Linked DNA regions of Danio rerio. The protein of the gene in region 1 purifies or fractionates together with the protein of each later gene. This does not show direct contact. Links are inferred from orthologs where the notes say so. Each region holds a gene or a part of one and is shown in the gene's direction. Other genes may lie near its edges.

Evidence for each region. Proteins that work in one complex are often made in the same cells at the same time.
Region 2: the proteins of psmb1 (region 1) and psmd5 fractionate together in Homo sapiens (co-fractionation; 3 studies listed by BioGRID). This does not show direct contact. The link is inferred for Danio rerio from reciprocal best matches to the Homo sapiens genes PSMB1 and PSMD5.

The regions. Positions count from the first base shown.
Region 1 is NC_133188.1:1,047,237-1,058,619, reverse strand, and holds psmb1 (proteasome subunit beta type-1), read left to right. Parts: upstream 1-1,147; 5' UTR 1,148-1,191; coding exon 1,192-1,292; intron 1,293-2,536; coding exon 2,537-2,644; intron 2,645-4,997; coding exon 4,998-5,079; intron 5,080-6,314; coding exon 6,315-6,444; intron 6,445-8,840; coding exon 8,841-8,947; intron 8,948-9,464; coding exon 9,465-9,650; 3' UTR 9,651-9,768; downstream 9,769-11,383. UniProt on the Homo sapiens protein: Non-catalytic component of the 20S core proteasome complex involved in the proteolytic degradation of most intracellular proteins. This complex plays numerous essential roles within the cell by associating with different regulatory particles.
Region 2 is NC_133196.1:6,260,918-6,272,528, reverse strand, and holds the start of psmd5 (26S proteasome non-ATPase regulatory subunit 5), read left to right. Parts: upstream 1-6,115; 5' UTR 6,116-6,150; coding exon 6,151-6,326; intron 6,327-9,762; coding exon 9,763-9,907; intron 9,908-11,611. UniProt on the Homo sapiens protein: Acts as a chaperone during the assembly of the 26S proteasome, specifically of the base subcomplex of the PA700/19S regulatory complex (RC).

The DNA.
Region 1 (11,383 bases):
TGAATAGACACTGTACGCTGCTGAATGTATATATATATATATATATATATATATATATATATATATATATATATATATATATATATACATACCCTGCTAAAAAATCCAGCTTAAACCAGCCTAGGCTGGTTGGCTGGTTTACCAGGCTGGTTTTAGAGGGGTTTTGGCTTTCACTTCCAGGCTGGTTTCCAGCCATTTCCAGCCTGGTCTTAGCTGGTCAGGCTGGGAGATGACCAGCTAAAATCAGCTTGACCAGCCTAGCCAAGCTGGGAGTCCAGCCAAAACCAGCTATATCCAGCTAAAACCAGGCTGGTCAAGCTGGTTTTAGTTGGATTTGGCTGGTCATTTTCCAGCCTGACCAGCTAAGACCAGGCTGGAAATGGTTCCAAAACCCCTCTAAAACCAGGCTGGTCAACCAGCTAAAACCAGCCAACCAGCCTAGGCTGGTTTAAGCTGGATTTTTCAGCAGGGATATATATATATATATATATATATATATATATATATATATATATATATATATATATATATATATATATATATATATATATATATATATATATATATATATTTGCTGTTGTTTGTACCTTTTTGTTTCTAGATTAAAAAAACAGATAAGCAGATTTACCAAAAAAAAACAAAACATTTTTTTTTAATGGTCCAACTAATTTGCAATTAATATCCGCAATATTATTATCATCACGGATATTTCATATTAATCATTCACCTCAAGACTAGCAGCATAAACATTGTACATATGTAGACTTACATTAAAATCTAATACTAGGCCAACTTTGATACTCAATATAGTATGAACTACTTCTAAACAATACTATACATGTGATAAACATTTTTTTTTTGTAAACAGCAAATGTGATGATGAAGTAGTACAAAACATGCTTTGTTTACTGCAGTTATGTTGCTTGTTGACGCTAATAATAACACGACACATTCACTTCAGTCACCTTTTCTTTCTTTTTTTCACTTAATCGCAGATATTATTGAATTGTGTGACGACTTGTCTTGCTTTATTATCACAATCCTCGCATAAAAAGTCTTGTTTATGTTGAAAAGCTAGCCATTAGCAGCAGACGGCGCTGTGGCGGTGGCGCGCACGGGAAACAAAGGACCTGTCAACTTCCGACGGCCATATTGCGGTGATACAGCGAGTTTTGCGGAGAGGAGCTCATCATGATTTCTGCCCAGGCTTATGGAGAAAACGGCAAAATGAAAGAATATCACTATACAGGACCAGTGGAGCACAAATTCTCCCCTTATGCCTTCAACGGAGGGTAAGAAGATATATTGTCCTCCATTTTCATTCAGCAGAGCATCCAGCGAACATGACAATTCACTTCACAGCTACGATTCAGCCATAAACTCGTCTTATAAACTGTTTAGAGACTTAAAATTTGTACATTTTACACAAAATAAAATGTCCGAGAGCTAAGTTTAGTAAAATCACGGGTGTAGCAGCAGTATAAATTGAGCTTAACAGTGTGCTTATTTTACTTTCACTATCACAACTGCAGAAATTGACTATTCATGTGTTGTAAGTCAAAACCGATGATATCTGAGGTAAAAACATTAATATTTAGACCTAATATGGTTTATTATTGATGCTAATTTTTAAACCAAACGTTGTTTTATTGTGGGACGTTTATATTGTTCTTATATTTGCTCCTACATGACTAAAATACTGTAGTAATTTATAGTAAATACTGTAGTGCTTTTAAATCATGCTATAGTGAAGTGTATTATACTGTATATATTATAATAATCACTCTTTTAAATCTATTAATGAAGGCCCCAGTACACTATAGTGAACAGATAAACTAATAAATGCTGTAGTTTTACTAAAGTAAACTGTAGTTTATTGTAGTATAATATACTTTAAGAAAATTTGGATTTGTTTATAATAATATAAGTGTATTAACTATTGAAATAACACATTGAGGTAAAGTTGGTTTTATATTCACACATTCACACTTAATGATACAGTTTAGACAAGTATTATTTGCAAATTCTAAGTAGTGAAATCATATTATCAGCCAGTGACTGTCAAAGTACAGCTTTGTTCACTGTCAATTAAAGACTGCTAATGTTGTTTTGAAGGCATTCTTGCATGCAATTTCACACCGAATATTTAAAGTAGCGTGGTAAACAAAATAAGGAGCAAGTTGTCACTGTACGAATGTGCTAATATAAAACCAGCTTTACCTCAATAAATAATAAGAGACAAGCAGAGTCAAGCAGTTGTGTTGAGGTAACGTTGGTTTTATGTTTACAAATTCAAGCTTTTTGATTAATATTATAATTTCAGAAAAGTTATTTAAGTTGGGAAATCATATCGGCAGCCAATGACTAACATAACATCAGTTAAAAAGTGCTAATAATGTTGTAAAGCATTAAAGTGAACAAATGTGTGAATATAAAACCAACTTCACCTCGATTTGTCTGTCTTTATTAATTGTTTATTTTCTCTTCTGTTTATTTAAATGAGGCATTTGTATATTTGTGTTGAATCTGTTCTCAGGACAGTGCTGGCGGTGGCTGGTGAAGATTTTGCTATCGTGGCCTCAGACACACGTTTAAGTGAAGGTTACAGCATCCACAGCAGAGACTCGCCCAAATGCTACAAGCTGTGAGTGACTGTTATTATTATTTTAATATATGTGTATGATATAAAGGCAAAAATGCTAATTTACCTCCAGATTGTTAGTGGGCCGCTTCGGTAAGTCATGGTGAAAATGTATATATAATTATGATTTTTTTTACTCTAGACACATAGAGCATGTTTAAGAAGATACATTATTAATTTATTGAGGTAAAGTTGATTTTATATTAGCACATTTGTTAATTTTAACAGTTCCTATATTGTTTGCGATGCTACTTTGAATATTGGGTCTGAAATCACATGTAAGTATGACTTCAAAACAACATTATCACTATTTAATTGACTGTGAACAATGTTGTACTTTGATAGTCTATTGGCTGATAATTTGATTCCCATATTTAGAATTTGCAAATAATACTTTTCTGAAAATATATGATTAAGGAGGAAGTCAGAATGTGTGAATATAAAATTAACTTTACCTCAATTATTCATTTAAACATATTCTGTGTGTCCTGTTTATTCTTATTTTTTTTACAGAGTAAAAAATCATGACTGTCATACATTTTTACCATGATTTTAATGACAGAAGACTCCCACTAAAATTCTATTTTACTCATATTTTTGTTTTTAGTGATGTTATATATTATGAAATGTATTAATTTTGTAATATTTAATGAGTGACCCTTTGTTACTTTACCTTTAACAGGTCAGAATAACTGTGTTCTTGAACTTTTACATATATGTCAGGGCTCGACAATAAGGACTGCCCCGTGGCCCAGGGCCAGCGTGAGAGATGCTTGGGACAGTAGACAGGATCATTACTGGCCCGATTGGGACAGTGCTGCCTTGTCACTAACATTTCATTTGTCTGCGACTATTTCAATTATGTGCGTTTTAAGTTTGTGCTTTTAAGTCTTTAAACACTCCCTTCTCAATGAAGTCGTAAACACCATATTGCTTTCCGGTTCCGCTTATCTGATTTGATGTTTTGAGCATGCTTTTTTTCCCCGCAACCTGGGAACAACCAGTACAGAGAAGAAACGGCAACATGGCGGCAACATCAAATTATAAGGCTAAAAGAAAATGCCTGTTTCTAATGTCTTAGATACAGGAATTTACGTGTGAACAACGCGAAAAAAAAAAAATGAAGTGATGTTTTGCACTGATTGCCCACAGTCAGCCCACCTTTTGTTAAATAATTTCGAACCGCAATAAAAATACCTGCACATTTTCCATACTGCTCTTTTTGTTTGCACAACACTTTTATTAATGTTTTTTTAAGTATTGAAATTCTAGATTCACAGACTTTATTTTTGACACATATTTAAAATATGCGGCTGAAAAATAGCTTTAAAAATTTTATTTATTTATTTATTTTTTTGGTGGGGCCAGTACAAATTTTGGCAGGGCCAGTAAAAATCTAAACCACTGGCCCGATCAGACCAGTAAAAAAAAAATCCATAGCGTTGAACCCTGTATGTATCAGAACATTTGCAAAGCAGATTTCTTCAACACATTTCTAATCGTAATAGTTTTAATAACTCATAATCTCTTATAACTGATTTATTTTCTCTTTGCCATGATGACAGTAAATAATATTAGACTAGATATTCTTCAAGACACTAGTATTCAGCTTAAAGTGACATTTAAAGGCTTCACTAGGGTAATTAGGGTAAAGTTAGGGTAATTAGGCAAGTCATTGTATAACGATGGTTTGTTCTGTACACTATTGAAAATAATATAGCTTAATGGGGCTAATAGTTCTGACCGTAAAATGGTTTTTAAAAAAATGACAACTGCTTTTATTTTAGCTGAAATTAAACAAATCAGACTTTCTCCAAAAGAACAAATATTATAGGAAATACTGTGAACAATTCCTGAATCTGTTCAACATCATGTGGGGAAATATTTGTAAAAGAAGAAAAATCAGAGGGGGACTAATAATTGGGAAATGCTGTGAAAATGTCCTTGCTCATTAAACTACTTGGGAAACCTTTAAAGTAAAAACTTTACAGGAAGGCTAATAACTTTGCTACATGTGTGAACATTTTGAGTGAAGTTGAAGACTTTGAAGTGGATTAAATCTTTGTATCAGTTGAAAAATATTTCCAGTTTTTTTCCAGTTCTAGTAAATGAGAGTGCACTAGTGTACTTTAAAATCCCTGTTGTCAATAGTAATCCAGAAACTGAGAAATTGCACTTCAGAGTTAATTATGAATTATTTAGCATTAAACCGTGTCTGTGTCATTGTTCTCAGCTGCAAGAATGTTAAAACCCATGACAGTGAGCAAATAAATGCACACCCACAGTTTATATTGTCAGCGTGTGTGTGCTGTACAGCACTTTTTACTTTCATTTCTCTGTTTTTACTCTCTCTCAGGACAGACACTACAGTTCTGGGCTGCAGTGGTTTTCATGGAGACTGCCTGACGCTCACCAAAATCATTGAGGCCCGACTGAAGGTGCGTCTCACAGCCTAGAAGGGAAAATGGAAATGCTGTTGTCGTTTTTTCATGAGGGAACATTTTCAGTGTGCTAACAGTATGACACTGAAATGTACAGATATAATGCTTCACTCAACAAAATGAGTTGAGTTTTAGAAATGAACAACCTTTTATTATTTTTCTATAATATTGCTGTGGATAATTTATCTGTAAAATAACAATATAATTTGTCAAATAACAAAGCAAATTTTACAACCAATTAAAAAACAGATAATACAAATAAAGGAAGTATCTTTATTATCATTAGTTATTCTTAGCTTGATTTTTTTTTTACATGCTTTGTTGTTATTATTATTATTATTATTATTATTTAGGAAATATGACAATAAGTTTTCTCTGCACATTTAAAAGGGTGGAAAAAAAAACGTTGCCTCACATACAAAACTGAACAAATCTCCTAATTAAGGGGTGTCCAAACTCAGTCCTGGAGGGCCGGTGTCCTGGAGAGTTTAGCCCCAACCATAATCAAACACACCTGAACAAGCTAGTCAAGCTCATACTAGGTATAATAGAACAGGGGTGTCCAAACTCGTAGGTGTCCTGCATAGTTTAGCTCCAACTTCCTTCAACACACCTGCCTAGAAGTTTCTAGTATACCTAGAAATGGCTTGATCAGCTGCTTCAGGTGTGTTTAATTGGGGTTGGAACTAAAATATGCAGGACACCGGCCCTCCAGGATTGACTTTGGACACCCCTGTACTAGACACTTCCAGGCAGGTGTGTTGAAGCAAGTTGGAACTAAACTCAGCAGGACAGCGGCCCTCCAGGATTGAGTTTGGACACCCCTGTCCTAATTGTTTAAATCGCTTTATCAATGTCATCTTGGCACTTTTTAGGACTCGTCATGTTTGCTGTCATCATTTTAATAATTTCACTAACAAGGTTCATCACTTAAAACATTACCTGCTACAACTTGTTTACAACTTGTTTAACTTGTTTTCATGTTAAGACCTGCTATTCCAACCTCAATACCTTCCAGTGCATTGCATTTGCCCCATGTCAGGTGTGAATATTTTTACAACATTTATTGTTATTGTGCAAAACATTAGCTAAAAGAAACTTGAAAATGTCATTGACTTCCGTAGTATTTGTGTAGTCACACATGTAAATGGACTTCCAGCCAGCTCATGATCCCCACAGAAATATCCACATTTCCTGAGCGGTGTGTTTGACTTTCTGGGCTGCCCTTACAGATGTACAAGCACTCGAATAACAAGAGCATGACGAGTGGAGCCATCGCAGCCATGCTGTCCACCATTCTGTACGGCAGGCGCTTCTTCCCTTACTACGTCTACAACATCATCGGCGGTCTGGATGAGGAGGGTGAGTTCGCTCAGGTCTTCAGGCTTAATTCAGCCATCTAAAGGTCAGGAGCGCATTAAAGGCAGTCTGGCTGACTGAAATATACTTGGCTAAACTGGCAATGAGCTGGTTATAGAGACCAAAACAAAGACATTTTGACAAGTAACCAGGGGGCTATTTCATAAAAGTGGTTAAGAAAAGCCTGACTTCAATGAGCTGAACTAAACGTCCACGCTTAAATTGATTCCATAACGGCAAGTTGAAGATCGTTTGATTTAACTAGTCTGAGTTCAGTTTAAATGATCTAGATAACTGCTCGTGCACATTTCTGTTGTGAAACCTTAAAAGTCGAGCATAGATGCATCGATTACGTTGTGTGCTACCATGGCAACTTAGAGAACTGAAAGAGCTCTGAAATGAGACACAGCTGTTCACAGCGAGTGAGTCACGAAACTGCAGATTGTTTAATAAGCTACAGTAGCTCTATATTTTTAAATATATGCTATTATTTATGCCTATTAACATGAAATTAAATATTTGTTATAAAACATAGTAATTGTGCTTGACCGCGCATGTGCATGAGAGAGAATTTGCGCTTACTGCCAATTGTTGCTTGCAATTAAACGTTTTAATGCATTGCGTTAAATATATTTGTGCATATACATTAGATTATTCAGTACCAATGCAAAGTTTGGAATATATATATATATATATATATATATATATATATATATATATATATATATATATATATATATATATATATATATATATATATATATATATAATTTTTTTTTTTTGCTATTAAGTGACTAAAGTTTTAATCATTATTAAGAGGTTAAGTGAATTTAAATGGCATCAAATTATGTCAGGTGAATGTTAACATTACTTTGATTAAGCTTAAACTTAAGGCTTAGCCTTGGAGTTAGCCTGCCCCGGACCAGGCTAGTTTCCCAGCCTAAGTTGCCAGGGTAACTAAGTTTGAACTATCGTAAATTTGATTTATGAAACCGAATCCGCCATTAATAAACCTGACTTACCAAAAAAAGCCTGGCTTTTTCTGTAAGCTTGGTTGATGGAATAGCCCCCTGCATTTTCAGGTAGATTTATTTATTTATTTTTTTATTAGAATATGCAAAAAGGTACATAAATTGGGATCATACAAATACAAAAAACATCAACAAAAAACCATAACAAAACAACAATAAAAAAAACAATAAAAAAAAAAAAAAAACAATATAGTCAGGTACTGTTAGGTGTGTGTGTGTGTGTGTGTCCATGTAAAGGTAACTTGGTGGAAGGTCAGATTACATACATTAGGAACAATGTTAGCCAATAAATGAATCTAGTCTCGCAGATATAAGTAAAACAGATACAAAAGAAACCAGTCAGAGTTAGGGAGTAACAACTATGCTTAGTAATGTATAATAGAAATAATGACAGTAAAAAGAAAGAAATGACAACAGTAATAATAAATGATAATAAATCACAAGTACTACCCTAACTACTACTACTGCAGAAAGTTACTTATATTACTATATAATTATTAACTACTATTGCTGCTACTACAATCACAACCACAACTATTACTACTATAATGTCTACTACTGCTGATACTACCACAACAATGACTACCACTACTGATACTACAGCGTCTGCTACAACTAATACAACGTCTACTACTACCGCAATCACTGCTACTACAACATCTACATCAACGACATCTACTACTGGTACTACTACACCAACAACGATTACTACTGCTACAACGACACTTTTACTACTTCTGCTACCACTATACCAACGACATCAACTACTACAGGAACTAATACTTCAATAATCACAATTACGATCGATACTACTACAATGACTACTACAACTACTACACCAACAACGACTACTACTACTACTACTGCTACAACGACACCTTTACTACTTCTGCTACCACTATACCAACGACATCAACTACTACAGGAACTACTACTTCAAAATACAATTACAATCAATACTACTACGATGACTACTGCTACAACTACTACTACTACAACAACAACAACAACAATTACTGCAACCTTAATAATGATAATCGTATTAATATTTTCAGGTAGATTAATATTGTGGTATTTGTATACTTTATAAGAGTCACAAACTCACAGCACCTTTAAAAACCCCTCTTCATTACCACAGAAGAACCAATAAACAAGATTACTGTGGTAATGCTAGGAAACTGCATGTTGCATTTTCAAATTTCGGCCATCCCATATTAATGAATACGTTGTCAGTGCAGACACTTGACACTTTTATGATCTTAAGTCTCTCCAAATGGTTGATCAGTTTCGTTTCACTAATGCATGTACACATTTTTCTTGAACACAGAACGGTGTGATTAAATAATCATGTGTTTTGCTTTATTCCAGGTCGAGGTGCTGTTTATAGTTTTGATCCAGTTGGTTCCTACCAGAGGGACACGTATAAAGCAGGTGGATCAGCGAGCGCAATGCTGCAGCCGCTCCTCGACAACCAGGTCAGAGTTCAGATTATCATCATAATATTAAATAGTCCATCTTAAACCCCATTCAGACCAGCAGTTTCTCCCATCACTACCAAACTTAAGTACACATGAAGTCAAAACTAACCATATTAGGAAAAAAACAATAGATTGCCCTTATAGTCTTTAATTGAAATCTGTAAATGCACTTCCTGATTGTTTTTGGGTAAATTCTCAGATTAGGTCTGTCTAATGTGGTGGGCGGGGCTAACACCCTTAACCACGCCCATCCAGCTGTCAGTCAACCAACAGAAACAGTGAGCAGGAGGAGTCTGTTAAGTTGTAATAACTCTCCCCAGACCCTTTTCCCCATCTTCCTGAATGAAACACCTACTTTACTACATCCAATCAGCTCACAGTACAAAAAACAAGCCACGCCCACTGTCTTCTCATTTATTATGCCGTTTCTCTCACAAAAGAAATGGTTACAGATTCCAGTTCACGAGGACTTTAATAGAAACCAACCATTAACTAAGTTGTTTGTTGTGCTCAGATCGGCTTCAAGAACATGGAGAACGTGGAGCATGTTCCTCTGACCCAGGAGAAGGCAGTGCAGCTGGTGAAGGACGTGTTTATTTCTGCTGCCGAGAGAGACGTGTACACCGGAGACGCCCTCAAAGTCTGCATCGTCTCCAAAGAGGGCATTAAAGAAGAGATCGTGCCGCTCAGGAAAGACTGAGACGCCTTCTCTGCACGCCAACGTTAGCCTCTTTTTGTTTCGCTCCAGATGCATCTTTCATTCTGCTCTCCTTTTTATATTCTGTCTCGAGAATAAATACCATACTGGTGTCAACATTGTGTAGTGTTCAGAGTGGTTTGTCCATTTGACAACCTCAGGTTGAGTGAAAACATCGCATCTGGATTGTGTTAAAATGTCTACGCTGTAAAAAATGCAGAGCTCCACACTAACCGATTAAGTGAAAGCAACAAATCTGAAGTAGATTGAACTTAAATTAAGTGGTCAAAAAATAAAATCTCAAGATTTGTGTAGTTTTGACACATTTTAAGTTATTTAAAAACATTTTTTATTTTAGATGGATAGACATGGAAAATGGGCCTAATCAGGTTTTTAGCTTCGATTTCAAAACTCTTACAATTATTATTTAAGTAAAAACCTCACTGTATAGTATATGCTCAAATTTACACTTAAATACTTGTATAATTTTATTGAAATATTCAAAACATATACCAGCAGAACATCATTAGCTTTGAAGACCTATTTTTTGAAGATCATTTTTACCTGTTACAGTGTTCAGACGGCAGAGAGACACCACGTTGACGTTGTGATGCCAAAATCATTGTAATACAAACGATAACATTAAAAAAACGCATGTATCGGCCACTTAAATGTTGTGGCCATTTATTGGCCAATATCAATATGGGTACCAATATAGGCAGATGTTATTATGGTGACCTACTCTATATGCAGTGTTGGGGAAAAAGTAATATATTACAATCTGTAGTATGTATTTATATATATATATATATATATATATATATATATATATATATATATATATATATATATATATATATATATATATATATATATATATTAAGGGTGTCATGATTTCAATTTTTAATCAAAATCGATCGAAATTTATCGTCAACTTCAATTATCGAATCAAAAAATAGAATCGTCGATGCTGCAACGCCCCCATGTAACGTCAGCTTGGCTTGCCAAGCGGGAAAAAACAGGCTTGTTGAAGTGCTTGTTAAACTGCAGAAGCAGGAGACCCGTCGACAGAGCTTAAACCCTCTCCTCTTTCAATGAAGTCACCGGTGTGGAAGTATTTTGGATTTTCAGTTAGTTATGTTGACAACGTTCGTGTTGTCAACAAAAAAAAAAAAAAAACAGTTTGCAAGCTCTGCCATGTACGTATTACGGTTGGGATAATAGACGATGGGCGCATTGCGATCCATACACGAAAACACGAAACTCAGGCCCTGTTTACACTAACATGTCTTTGTTTTTAAATGGCATTTTAGAACGACAACAATCCACATCCACACTGGCGTGTAGCATTTCTGAGCAGCCCTCCTTCCTCACTACCGCTGAAAACGCACATCACGTGACCACACACACACACTCATTCACACACAGACACATTGTCATGCGCTCGAGACAGCGGGTCAAGGCAGTCAGCGGTTCAGTAGACTGCTTCCATCTTTTACTTTCACACAAGTACTTGGTCATTTTAGCGAACACCTCAGATACTGTTGGCTGGTTCCTGTCTTTCTGGAATGATATTGTTAAGGAGACAGCCAAAATGTGATACAATTAAAACAACTTGACCTCAAAGTTGTACTCTTGGTCTTTGTGTTCAACTATTAATCAGCTAACAGTCAGAATAATAGAAATTCATGTTTTGATTTTATTATTAAAGATCAATAATAACTTCACCATAGCAC
Region 2 (11,611 bases), on another chromosome or scaffold:
GGTCCAAGCACTATATCAAACTGTATGGGAAGACTCAACAAATGGTAATAATTATAACGTTTGCAAAGCAATATAATACTTTCGAAAATCACGATCGCAATATATAGACCTTTTTTCATGGCTGCTGCATGAAGGGCGCCATAGCGACCAGCGTCTTTTAGAATGCTAAAAACTTCCTTTTACAGCGTGTACAACTGGTAATTTGCGCTCCGAAAATGGGTTTCAATAACGTTTTTAATGGATAACAGAGTGTTTTTGTGACACACAACTTAGAAATGTGTCTGTTAAAGCCGTTTAAAGCTGGCAGGACAAAGTCTCCAACGTCAAAGTCTTGACTCGAAATCTGGGAAGAGAACAACAGGACGCCCATTTCTGAGATTTAAAGATGTCGTTAAGAGGGACATGAAGGCCCTCGACATAAACACCAAGTCTTGGGAAGACCTCGCAGCAGACCGCCTGAAATGGAGGTGCACCCTGACCAAACAGCTCAAGTTAGGTGAGAAGAACATGATGCGTGCATCAGAGGACAAGAAAGTTCACCGAAAGGTGCAGAGCGTCAGCCAGGGAGGCACCTATCAATGCGACTGCTGCGGTAAAAAATGCCTCTCCCGCATTGGTCTCTTCAGCCACCAACGACGCTGTCTTAGACAATCAGTCATGCCTCAAGATAAGAGCTAGGATACGTCATCCATGGTCAACACTTACCGACGGAGGCCTACTTATAATCTGTCGATGTGGTTCAAGCGCGTAAAAAATACGAGAAAAACGTTCTCCTAGTTGACGTGTCTGCCGTCAGTGTGTGTGTGTTCCCGGCCTGTCGAGAGAGAGAGAGAGAGAGAGAGAGAGAGAGAGAGAGAGGGAGAGAGAAAACCAGAGTACTGGCATGAAACTTAACAGGTATGAAAGTCGTGCAATTTACAAAAATGACCAATAAAAGTCTGTTATTGATCCTCTGCTGGCTGATTTGCTGTTCATTCTAATCGCGAGCCGTTTGTGTTTTATTTCGTGTGTTGTTTTTACCACGGTTTGTGTTTTTCTGTCATTTCGAAATGACACTAGCCTATATTTCCACTTTGTCACAGTTATTAAATCAGTGTGTCAGTGGCACAGTACAGGCTACGTGTGTGTGTCAAACATTTTGGTGAATTACATTAGTTTGGGCTGGTTATATATTTGAAATGAAGAGAAAATGTTGACTTTAGCGATGCCGAGGCTTCATTTAAACTGCAGAAGATGCCGTCTGACAACGAGGGGAAAATGCCTCACAGCAGCTGTTTTCCATCCTATTAGATCGCATTTCTTTAAATGATCAGTCCAGGAGATGCTGCTGATGGACAACACTATTAGTTCAAAGGGGATAAAAGCAAGTAAAATAGATAAAACTATCGTTTCAAAGCTGTCCAAATGTGACTGTTTACACGCATCAGCTGCCGACTGGAAGTTCTTCGCATTCTCCTTGCGCATACACGCAAAGCATAATGGGTAATTTTGCGTTCCAAGAAAAAGGTCTATACATCCATGCCTAATAATCAGATGGCCAGACAGTGATTAATTTTTTTAGAAGTTGTTCAAATATTGGTGTCTGTAATATAGCAAGTCCAGAGACTGCTGTTTACAGCATGATTTTTTTATAAAATTCATATGACTAAAAAGTGGTCATAAACAAATATTTTCTCAACTCTAATGAGACCCTGAAATAGTATTTTAACAAGCGAATTGTACTCATATGCTGCATTTATACGACCAAGAATCCTCTAATAACTTGAGAACTTCTGAAACAAAGCTGATAAATTAAAGAATTATAATTGCAGACCAGTCAAGTCTCATGAGCAATGAAAAAAGGAAACTGCTGAGTAATACATATATAGTGCTCTAAAATAATACTGTATTAGTTTGTTTGAAGTTTGTATGTGTTTAAAGAAATAATATAGATCAAAACCAGTCTGGATATTGTTAAAAAGAAATCTATAAATGCTTTAATCGTGTCATTACGGTAATGATAGTGTGACCGTGCACTGAAATCACACTGCAGCTGTAATCCGAAAGAAATGAGACGTGTACAACGCCAGCCATTTTAGTTCTATTACCATAATATATGTGTGTGTGTGTGTGTGTGTGTGTGTGTTGGGACTGTAATGTCTTTCAGAAAAGAAGGTGTGTCTTGGAAGTTTTATTTTTGCTCTTGGGTTGAGGTTAAACTAGTGTGCGTCTGTGTGTGTGTGTGTGCGTGTGCGTGTGTGTGTAGGATCTCATTTTACCTTTAACAGGGAGGCTATTGATGACCTGAAACACACAAACACACACTCAGAAGTGAAGGTCTACTGGGCAGAGTCCTGTATGTGTCTGTGTGTGTGTTTCTCTCCTCTATCTCTAAGGAAAAAAGGAAGACATTGGTTCTGATCATGAAATAATTGCCCTAACTCACTGTAAAACTGAAGTAGCAGAAATGATAGCACATGCACGAGCGCTGAAAGAGCCATGAGGATTAGGACTAGAGTGTTTGAGAACAGAAAGCTGAGGTGAATGGGCTTTGATGGTGGACATAGACTCTTTGTGAAGGCTGAGGGTGATGTTCATCAGTGAGCCCATTGACTTCAGGCTCCTCCACAAACACACTTGAGATGGTTTGATCTGCGTGTGTAAACAGGAGTCTCCCGCCCGTAATTAAAGCCACAGTCAGGGGGTCACATGCGGATGAACAAAAACAGCTTGTATGGACATGCCAAACCTCAAGACTGCTACAGTACCCGAGTGTTGGATCTTTTGACTTGGGCGAGTGAGGAATTACCTAGCAACCAGTCAAAAAAGCCTAGCAACCAAGCTTATGCGCATATATGTATCAGAGATATTTAGGTCTACACGAATAAGGGCATTTTCAAAACCGCTCTTTTTTTCGTTGGCGATGGTGTGTACAGTGTTAGTATTAACATTTAACGGACATTTGCACTGAACACGCAGTGAATGCAATGCATCGAGATTCGGGCACCTTCTCCGAAAACACTCGATTGATCTCAGCTCGCGGGTCAACATGCACCACATGATCACCGTCATCTCCGCCATCATGTGTAACTTTAGGTGGGGTTTGCAAACCTGTGTACTTTTCACTTTTCAGCCGTTTCCATTACCCGCGGTCACAAAAAGTCCCTGTCATCTGACAGCAGAAAGCCTTGAGTGATTGAGAGCTAATATGAACCAAAATAGCAGCAGGGAAGACCGATTCAGCACGTTTTTAGAAAAAAATCAAAATAGGTCGCACTACAACCATTATATGCAGTCGCACAAATGATTTGGTTTGATTTGATTTATTTTACCATTTTAATCTTTTTAGCGAGAGAACTGTTGCACTGTCAAATAAACTGTTTATTTATTTATTGTTTTATGCAGGAATTTGTGTATTTATTTATTTTTGTATTTATTTATTTATTGTTTTATGCAGGAATTTGTGTATTTATTTATTCATTTATTTGTGTATTTATTTATTTATTGTTTTATGCAGGAATTTGTGTATTTATTTATTCATTTATTTGTGTATTTATTTATTTATTGTTTTATGCAGGAATTTGTGTATTTATTTATTTGTGTATTTATTTATTTATTGTTTTATGCAGGAATTTGTGTATTTATTTATTTTTGTATTTATTTATTTATTGTTTTATGCAGGAATTTGTGTATTTATTTATTTATTTATTTATTTTATTGTTTTATGCAGGAATTTGTGTATTTATTTATTTTTGTATTTATTTATTTATTGTTTTATGCAGGAATTTGTGTATTTATTTATTCATTTATCTGTGTATTTATTTATTTATTGTTTTATGCAGGAATTTGTGTATTTATTTATTTTTGTATTTATTTATTTATTGTTTTATGCAGGCATTTGTGTATTTATTTATTTATTTATTTTTTTTTTTATTTATTGTTTTATGCAGGAATTTGTGTATTTATTTATTTTTGTATTTATTTATTTATTGTTTTATGCAGGAATTTGTGTATTTATTTATTCATTTATCTGTGTATTTATTTATTTATTGTTTTATGCAGGAATTTGTGTATTTATTTATTTTTGTATTTATTTATTTATTGTTTTATGCAGGCATTTGTGTATTTATTTATTTATTTATTTATTTTTTTATTTATTGTTTTATGCAGGAATTTGTGTATTTATTTATTTTTGTATTTATTTATTTATTGTTTTATGCAGGAATTTGTGTATTTATTTATTCATTTATCTGTGTATTTATTTATTTATTGTTTTATGCAGGAATTTGTGTATTTATTTGCGTGTTTAGTTATTTATTGTTTTATGCAGGAATTTTTGTATTTATTTATTAGCCTATTTATGTATTTATTGTTTTATTTATGCAGGAATTTGTTTATTATTTGCCTATTTATTTATTGTTTTATGCAGGACTTTGTGTATTTATTTGCGTATTTATTTATTTATTGTTTTATTTATGCAGGTATTTATGTATTTATTTATTTGCATATCAATTTATTTATTGTTTTATTTATGCAGGAATTTGTGTATTTATTTGCGTGTTTATTTATTTATTGTTTTATGCAAGAATTTATGCATTTATTTATTTGTGTATTTATTTATTTATTATTTTATTTATGTAGGAATTTGTGTATTTATTTATTTGTGTATTTATTTATTGTTTTATGCAGGAATTTGTGTATTTATATAATTATTTATTTGTGTATTTATTTATTTATTGTTTTATGCAGGAATTTGTGTATTTATATAATTATTTATTTGTGTATTTATTTATTTATTGTTTTATGCAGGAATTTGTGTATTTATTTATATATTTGCGTACTTATTTTTTATTTTTGCAGGTTTCGTCCTCCATATATACTGAATTCCATATGTGTTTGGACACACTTTGCAAATAAAGGAGGTTTTGATTCTGATACTGTAATGAATATGGAAATCAACAAGTATGTTACCATGCTATATGAAGGTCTCATGGTATTTTCACATGACACCAACGCTGTATGGAACATTTAGAACTCCGGGTTGTTAATTAATACTTTAATAGTAACAAATAATAGTCGACGTATAATAAAGATGATTGAGAAAAAACTAGTCTAAATGGCGGCATCTAGTGGCCGCTAAAGGAAAGTAAGCTACAGAATCTCCCCTCACAACTAGTCCTGGTGATTTTGTTTATTTAAAAAAACAAGGCTTTCATGGATACGCAAATAAAGCACATTTCCTAAAACTACGCAATGTACGAGCATATACAACACATTTAAAGTTACCATATAACATAATAAAATAACGTTACACCGGGTTGTTGTTCGTTACCTGAATGCCCATCTAGAAATTGGCGTGCGACTCCCATAGACTGGTGACTCCTCAAACATGGGACGAACTTGTCAGAACTCTTGAATAATTTAATAAACATCCCAAAATTAAACTGTATAAAAATTTCATACACAGGTATTGGAATTTACACGACGTCGAGTTACATCAACGTATTTACATAGGGTCATGGCTGTATTTTTGGACTTCCTAGTTTCCGTAGTTTCCGCCTAAACTACCAATTACCGTAGTTACACCAAAGATCGATGGTAAATCCTGAACAGGTTACCGCTGCGGATACGCGCATCAATATAGCATAATTTTTGTGACACTGTATAACAATAATTAACATTTTTACAGTACTGTGACGGTCGGGGTTATGGTTGGGGTAGGGGTAGACGTTACTAAAATACAATTTATGGGAAATTTAATAAATAATATAAAAAATTATCGTTAACTTCCAGCTCCAACTGTATCTGATCTAGCAACAACCGAGATCGACAGCATTTGGTGTGTAACAAAATAAATTATTTATGAACAATAAATGATTATACATAATGATTTATAAATGTTATTTTATAAATATATAATTAAATTACAGTTACAAATTACATTTGATTAAACTTAATATGCGTATATTTATACATACATATTAAAAATAAAAACAATTATTGTATTTCATTCATATAAATATAAAACTAAATGTATACATACTACAAATGTAATATGATACAATATAAATTTCAAAATACACAGTACAACAGCTTCTGATTTTACTGACAAAATGCAAATGAGCTCAGCGTGTTTCCCGCCCCTCGGTCACGTGACGCAAACATTGAGCCATGATGGCGGCGCCTATAGAGAGTCTGTTGAATGAGATCTGTGAATCAGAAGATCCGATCGAGGAGCTCAAGAGCCTCCGGACAGCCGTTTTAGCGACTCCCGTGAGCGGTTTGAGGCCAGCAGTGTCTGGAGCCCGACTGGAGATCATATTCAGCCTTTTAAACACTAATGACAAGTGAGTGTTGATCCTGCTGAGTCAACAGGCGCAATACACACCACACACTGCACACTGATAGCCTACTGTAATGAGCGAGCAGTATTATTGAATTTATTCATTATTAGTCTTTACACAATGCGTACTTTTTGCATTCAGCAGGTCATTTCATTGTGTATTGAAGTCGAGAATGATTTATTAAACCTTTTCAAATAACTCATTGATGTAAAGTTGGTGGGACTTCTTACCAGGAACGTACGTTATCTGTCCCTGACATAAAATAATCAATACAGTGAATAAAAAGTTTCCCATCTCTTATCAAATAGCCTGATGGTTGATTTCTGTAAGTTGTTCTGTAAAGGAATATGTCATTCATTTGGTTCTCAGATTTGTGTTCTTTATTAAAACACTTTACAAATGTACAAACCCTGTCATTGTCCTCAGCTTTAATAGTTTTGTTATGCTAAAAACTGTTATTTGGGGGGGAAAATACTTCAGAAATAGCAAGTTTAAGTTTTTATCATTCACATCAGTTGATTATGAACATGAAATGATTAATAATTTCTACAAATAAATACAACAAATACATTTACAATCAATTGTCCTCATGTTTCTGTCAGTCCTGTCACATTTGCATTAAATTTAACATTAAATGCGTGCAATTCACCTTTAAGGCTATGACTTTGTATGATTTTTCGAGGACGACAAGCTTAAAGGTCAGGCCCTGTAACATTTTTTATAAGTGTACATTGTACATTTCTGGTAGAATGTCCCTGCTTTTATATTTACACATTCAGAGTTTCTCCTTAATAATACAATCTCAGAAAAGTATTGTTTGCAAATTCTAAATAGTGAAATCATGTTTGCAGCCCATGACTTTCAAAGTACAACATCGTTCACAGTCTATTAAATACTTCTAATTTTGTCAAGTTGTCACTGTTCAAAAATAAACAAATGTGGTAATATAAAACCAACTTCACCTCAATAAATAACTCTTCAAAAAACTTTAAAAATTCAATAAAAATTCTGTCATTATTTTCTCTCCCTTCATTTAAAAAAAATATTTATGAGGTTCGTTTATGGAACAAATATATGCCATAGGTATTGAAATAAAAAGCTTATCGAATAGCACAAGCTGAAAAAAAAATAATACGTTGAATTAACAACTGCTTGCATTTTAATGACTTGGATTGCCAGGGTTTGTAATTTTACGTCCTGAAATTTAACACAGCTGTTTATTTAAGCTCAAAATATGTCAAACACATTTTCATACTTAAAATTGAATAATTCATATTCAATTTCCAGATTTCATGTAAATTATTCAAAAGACAATTTTCAATTCACTTTATTTCAGTTCAAAAATTCGCTTCCATAAATTCAGTGGATCAAATTCGGCTGTTAAAATTTGACATTAAATGCAACTTTTGTGCTGTTATTAGCTTTTTTCCTCAATTATTTACTGGTTTAAAAATATTAAATTGGTCCACCTGCTAGTGAAAAAGCAGCTGAAGATTGTCAATCTGCAATCTTTTGCTTTTCCCTGCAGTTCCCGGAAGTAATGTCGAATTTTAAGAGCCGAATTTCATCCACCGAATTTTTGGAAGCAAATTTTTGAACTGAAATAAAATAAACTGGAAGTTACCTTTTGAACATTTCGCTTCGTATTTTTCACTGGTATTTAATATTTTGTGAGTGAAACCTGCATATTGAATATGAATTAGTTTTTTTTGAAGTATGAAAACATGTTTGAAATATTTTTAGTTGAGATATTTACAGCTTAAATAAACAGCTGTGTTCAATTGCAAGCCCTAAAAATACAAACCCTGGCAATCCAAGTCATTAAAATGCAAGCAGTTGCTAATTCCATGTATTATTTTTTTCAGCTTGTGCTATTCCATAAGCTTTTCATTTCAATACTATTGGCATTGATTTTGTTCCATATTATTTCTCGTGTTGAACACAACTGAAAACCTGTAACCATTGACTTCTATAGTATTTGTATTTGCTAATATGGAAGTCAATGGTTACTGATCTTCAGTGTTTAACAGAAGAAGGCAACTCGTAAACGATTAGGGGAAAAATGACGGGAGAGTAAATAATAAATCATGAAGATTCATAAACACTTTAGGGAGACTAATTCGTGATTTTTTTTGTGTGTGTGTGTTAACTATTGCTTTAACCTCCTAGGGCTGCGTGGACAGCGCATTATAGCTCTTAAGTGGCTATTTAAAATACTTTGAATGTTTTATATTTTGTTACAGACGTACAGTCTCATCCTGCAACTCTTTTGCAGAATATGAAATGTCCCAAACCCTATTTTTAACTGTCCAAAATGGGGGGAAATATATTGTTTTTAGTCTCTGATAGTCAAAACATGTTCAAATAAGTTTTGTATGTTAAATATGCATTTAAAAACAGTCAGGAAAAAGTGTTTTATGTAAATTCGGACCACGAGTCCACATATATGAACATTATTTTTCTCTAAAAGTACATCATATCAAAAGATGATACTTAGGTTTTTATTCTAATTAGGTTCCAATAAGCCCACATACAGTAGCAAAGAGAAATAAAAAATACATGTAAAAAACACCCTGGGCATTAAGAGGTTAATGGGTATTCATTTTGACAAAGAGTTTTATTTTTAAAAATACAGATACTGCGTCTTTAACATTTTAAAACACATATAATATAATAATTTTAACCGTTTATATAAATACTCATAGAATATGACAATAAGTCCATATAAAAATTGCCGCTCTCTTATTTTTTTACAGAGCTGTGTAAGAAAGCATATTCATTCATTCATTTTCCTTCAGCTTAGTCCCTTTATTCATCAAGGGTCACCACAGCGCAATGAACCACCAACTTCTCCAGCATGTGTTTTACACAGTGGATGCCCTTCATGCTGCAACCCAGTACCAGGAAACACCCATACACACTCATTCACACACACACACACACACACACTAGGGACAATTCAGTTCATCCAGTTCACCTATAGCGCATGTGTTTGGACTGTGGGGGAAACCGGAGCACCCAGAGGAAACCCACGCAAACACGGGGGGAGAACATGCAAACTCCACAAAGAAATGCCAACTGACTCAGCTAGGACTCGAACCGGGGACCTTCTTGCTGTGAGGCCACATTGCTAACCACTGTGCCACCGTGTTGCTCATGAAAGCAAACATAACGCAAATGAACTTTAACAGTAAATCGTGTAATTAGTATATTTGTGATTCAGATATTTTAATGAAGCGAAAACAATAATCCAAGTCATTTTGAAATCCTACACAACTTACACAAGTTTCATTTGTTTAAATGAAACGTGCATATCAAAATGATAAACCCTCTTATTTGGCACTTGACAATGTGATCTTAAAAAATGTTTTACATGGAGAATTATTTTCCGTGATTGAACACTGCTTTCTGTCTGTTTTTTGTTTGTTGTTGGGTGCAGAGAGCAGATTGAGGTGTGTGTGGAGATCCTAAGTCGAGTCCTGCAGGCTTTAGAACCGGTTCAGCTTGCACAGAACTACAGGAAAGCGCTCCAGAGCGGACTCAACCATCCTGATGACTCGGTCAAAGTGCTCACGCTCACACAGGTCAGTAGAACAGAAGTGCAACTCAATGCATCATTCTATACCGCCCCGCTCACTTTTTCAGTGTTGTTCCCCCGTTCACTTTACCCACAAGTATTTTGAAAAAAAAAAAAAACTGTGGTTTAAGGCGCACTGAGAAATATGTGATCCTAAACCACAAAATCACCAGCCATCAGTGTCTATTTTATAAAACTCATATTTATACATACATAGCATGAAATAAAAATAAAAGAATAAAGGGAAAATAAAAGGGAAATAAAAGAGTTTTCTATTGGTGTAAGGTTTGTTGTGACAGGAAAATACAACTAGTTGAAAATCTGTGAATTATAAAAAAAAAAAAAGTAAATACTGAGGAAAAGGGCTCAGTGGTTAGCACTGTTGCCTCATAGCAAGAAGGTTGCTGGATCGAGTCCTGGCTGGGCCAGTTGGCATTTCTGAGTTTGCATGTTCTCCCCATGTTGGCATTGGTTTCCTCCGGGTGCTCCGGTTTCCCCCACAGTCCAAACACTTGCGCTACAGGTGAACTGAATAAACTAAATTGGCTGTAGTGTATGTGTGTGCATGTAAGGGTGTATGGGTGTTTCCCTGTACTGGGTTGCAACTGGAAGGGCATCTGCTGTGTAAAACATTCAAGTTGGCTGGATAAGTTGGCGGTTCATTCTGCTATGGCAACCCCATATGAATAATGGGACTAAGCTGAAGGAAAATAAATGAATGCTGAGGAAATCACCTTTACGCCCCATTCACACGGGGCTTCAGCGTCAACGCTTGATTAAAGGCGTGTCTGAAGTTGGGGCTGAAACGATCGTCATAGAAGCGTCAGCCAATGAAATTCAGTCAGCAATAGGCCACTGTCTAGCTGGTGTATTTGCATACAGCGATCTGATTGGCTGACGCTAGAGTGGGCGCTTGAAAAGTTGAGCTAGTCCCAACTTCTGAGGCGAGCAACACCTCTGAAGGGGCGCTGACGGATCCACAATGCAGTTCGGCAATGCCTGACGTCACCCACTCAAAGTGAATAGGAAGCGCTGACGCTGACGCCCAGTGCGAATGGGGCCTAAGTGTCCAAATTAAGTTCTTAGCAATTCACCTTAGTAATAAAAATAGAATTTTAATATATTTACAGTAGGAAATTTACAAAATATCTTCACGAGACACGATCATACTTCATATTCCAATGATTTTTGCCATAAAATAAATATCTATAATTTTGACTCGTACAATGTATTTTTGATCATTGCCAAAAAATATCCCTGTGCAACTTAAGACAGGTTTTTTGGTCCAGGGTCACATTTGTGACCACAGTGTTGAATCAGCAGTAAGGTTGTAGATCCCAGTTGTAAAAGCAACAAATAATAACTTGACTTCTAGTTGATCATCAAAGTGGCAGAAGACATACCAATCATCACAAATAATAAACAAGACCTACTGGAACCCGCATGGACCCAAGATTCTCACAGAAATCAGTCAAGTTTGGTAAAGGAGAAATCATGGTTTGGGGTTACATTCAGTATGGGGGCGTGCGAGAGATCTGCAGAGTGGATGTCAACATCAACAGCCTGAGGTATCAAGACATTTGTGCTGCCCATTACATTACAAACCACAGGAGAGGGCGAATTCTTCAGCAGGATAGCGCTCCTTCTCATACTTCAGCCTCCACATCAAAGCTCCTGAAAGCAAAGAAGGTCAAGGAGCTCCAGGATTGGC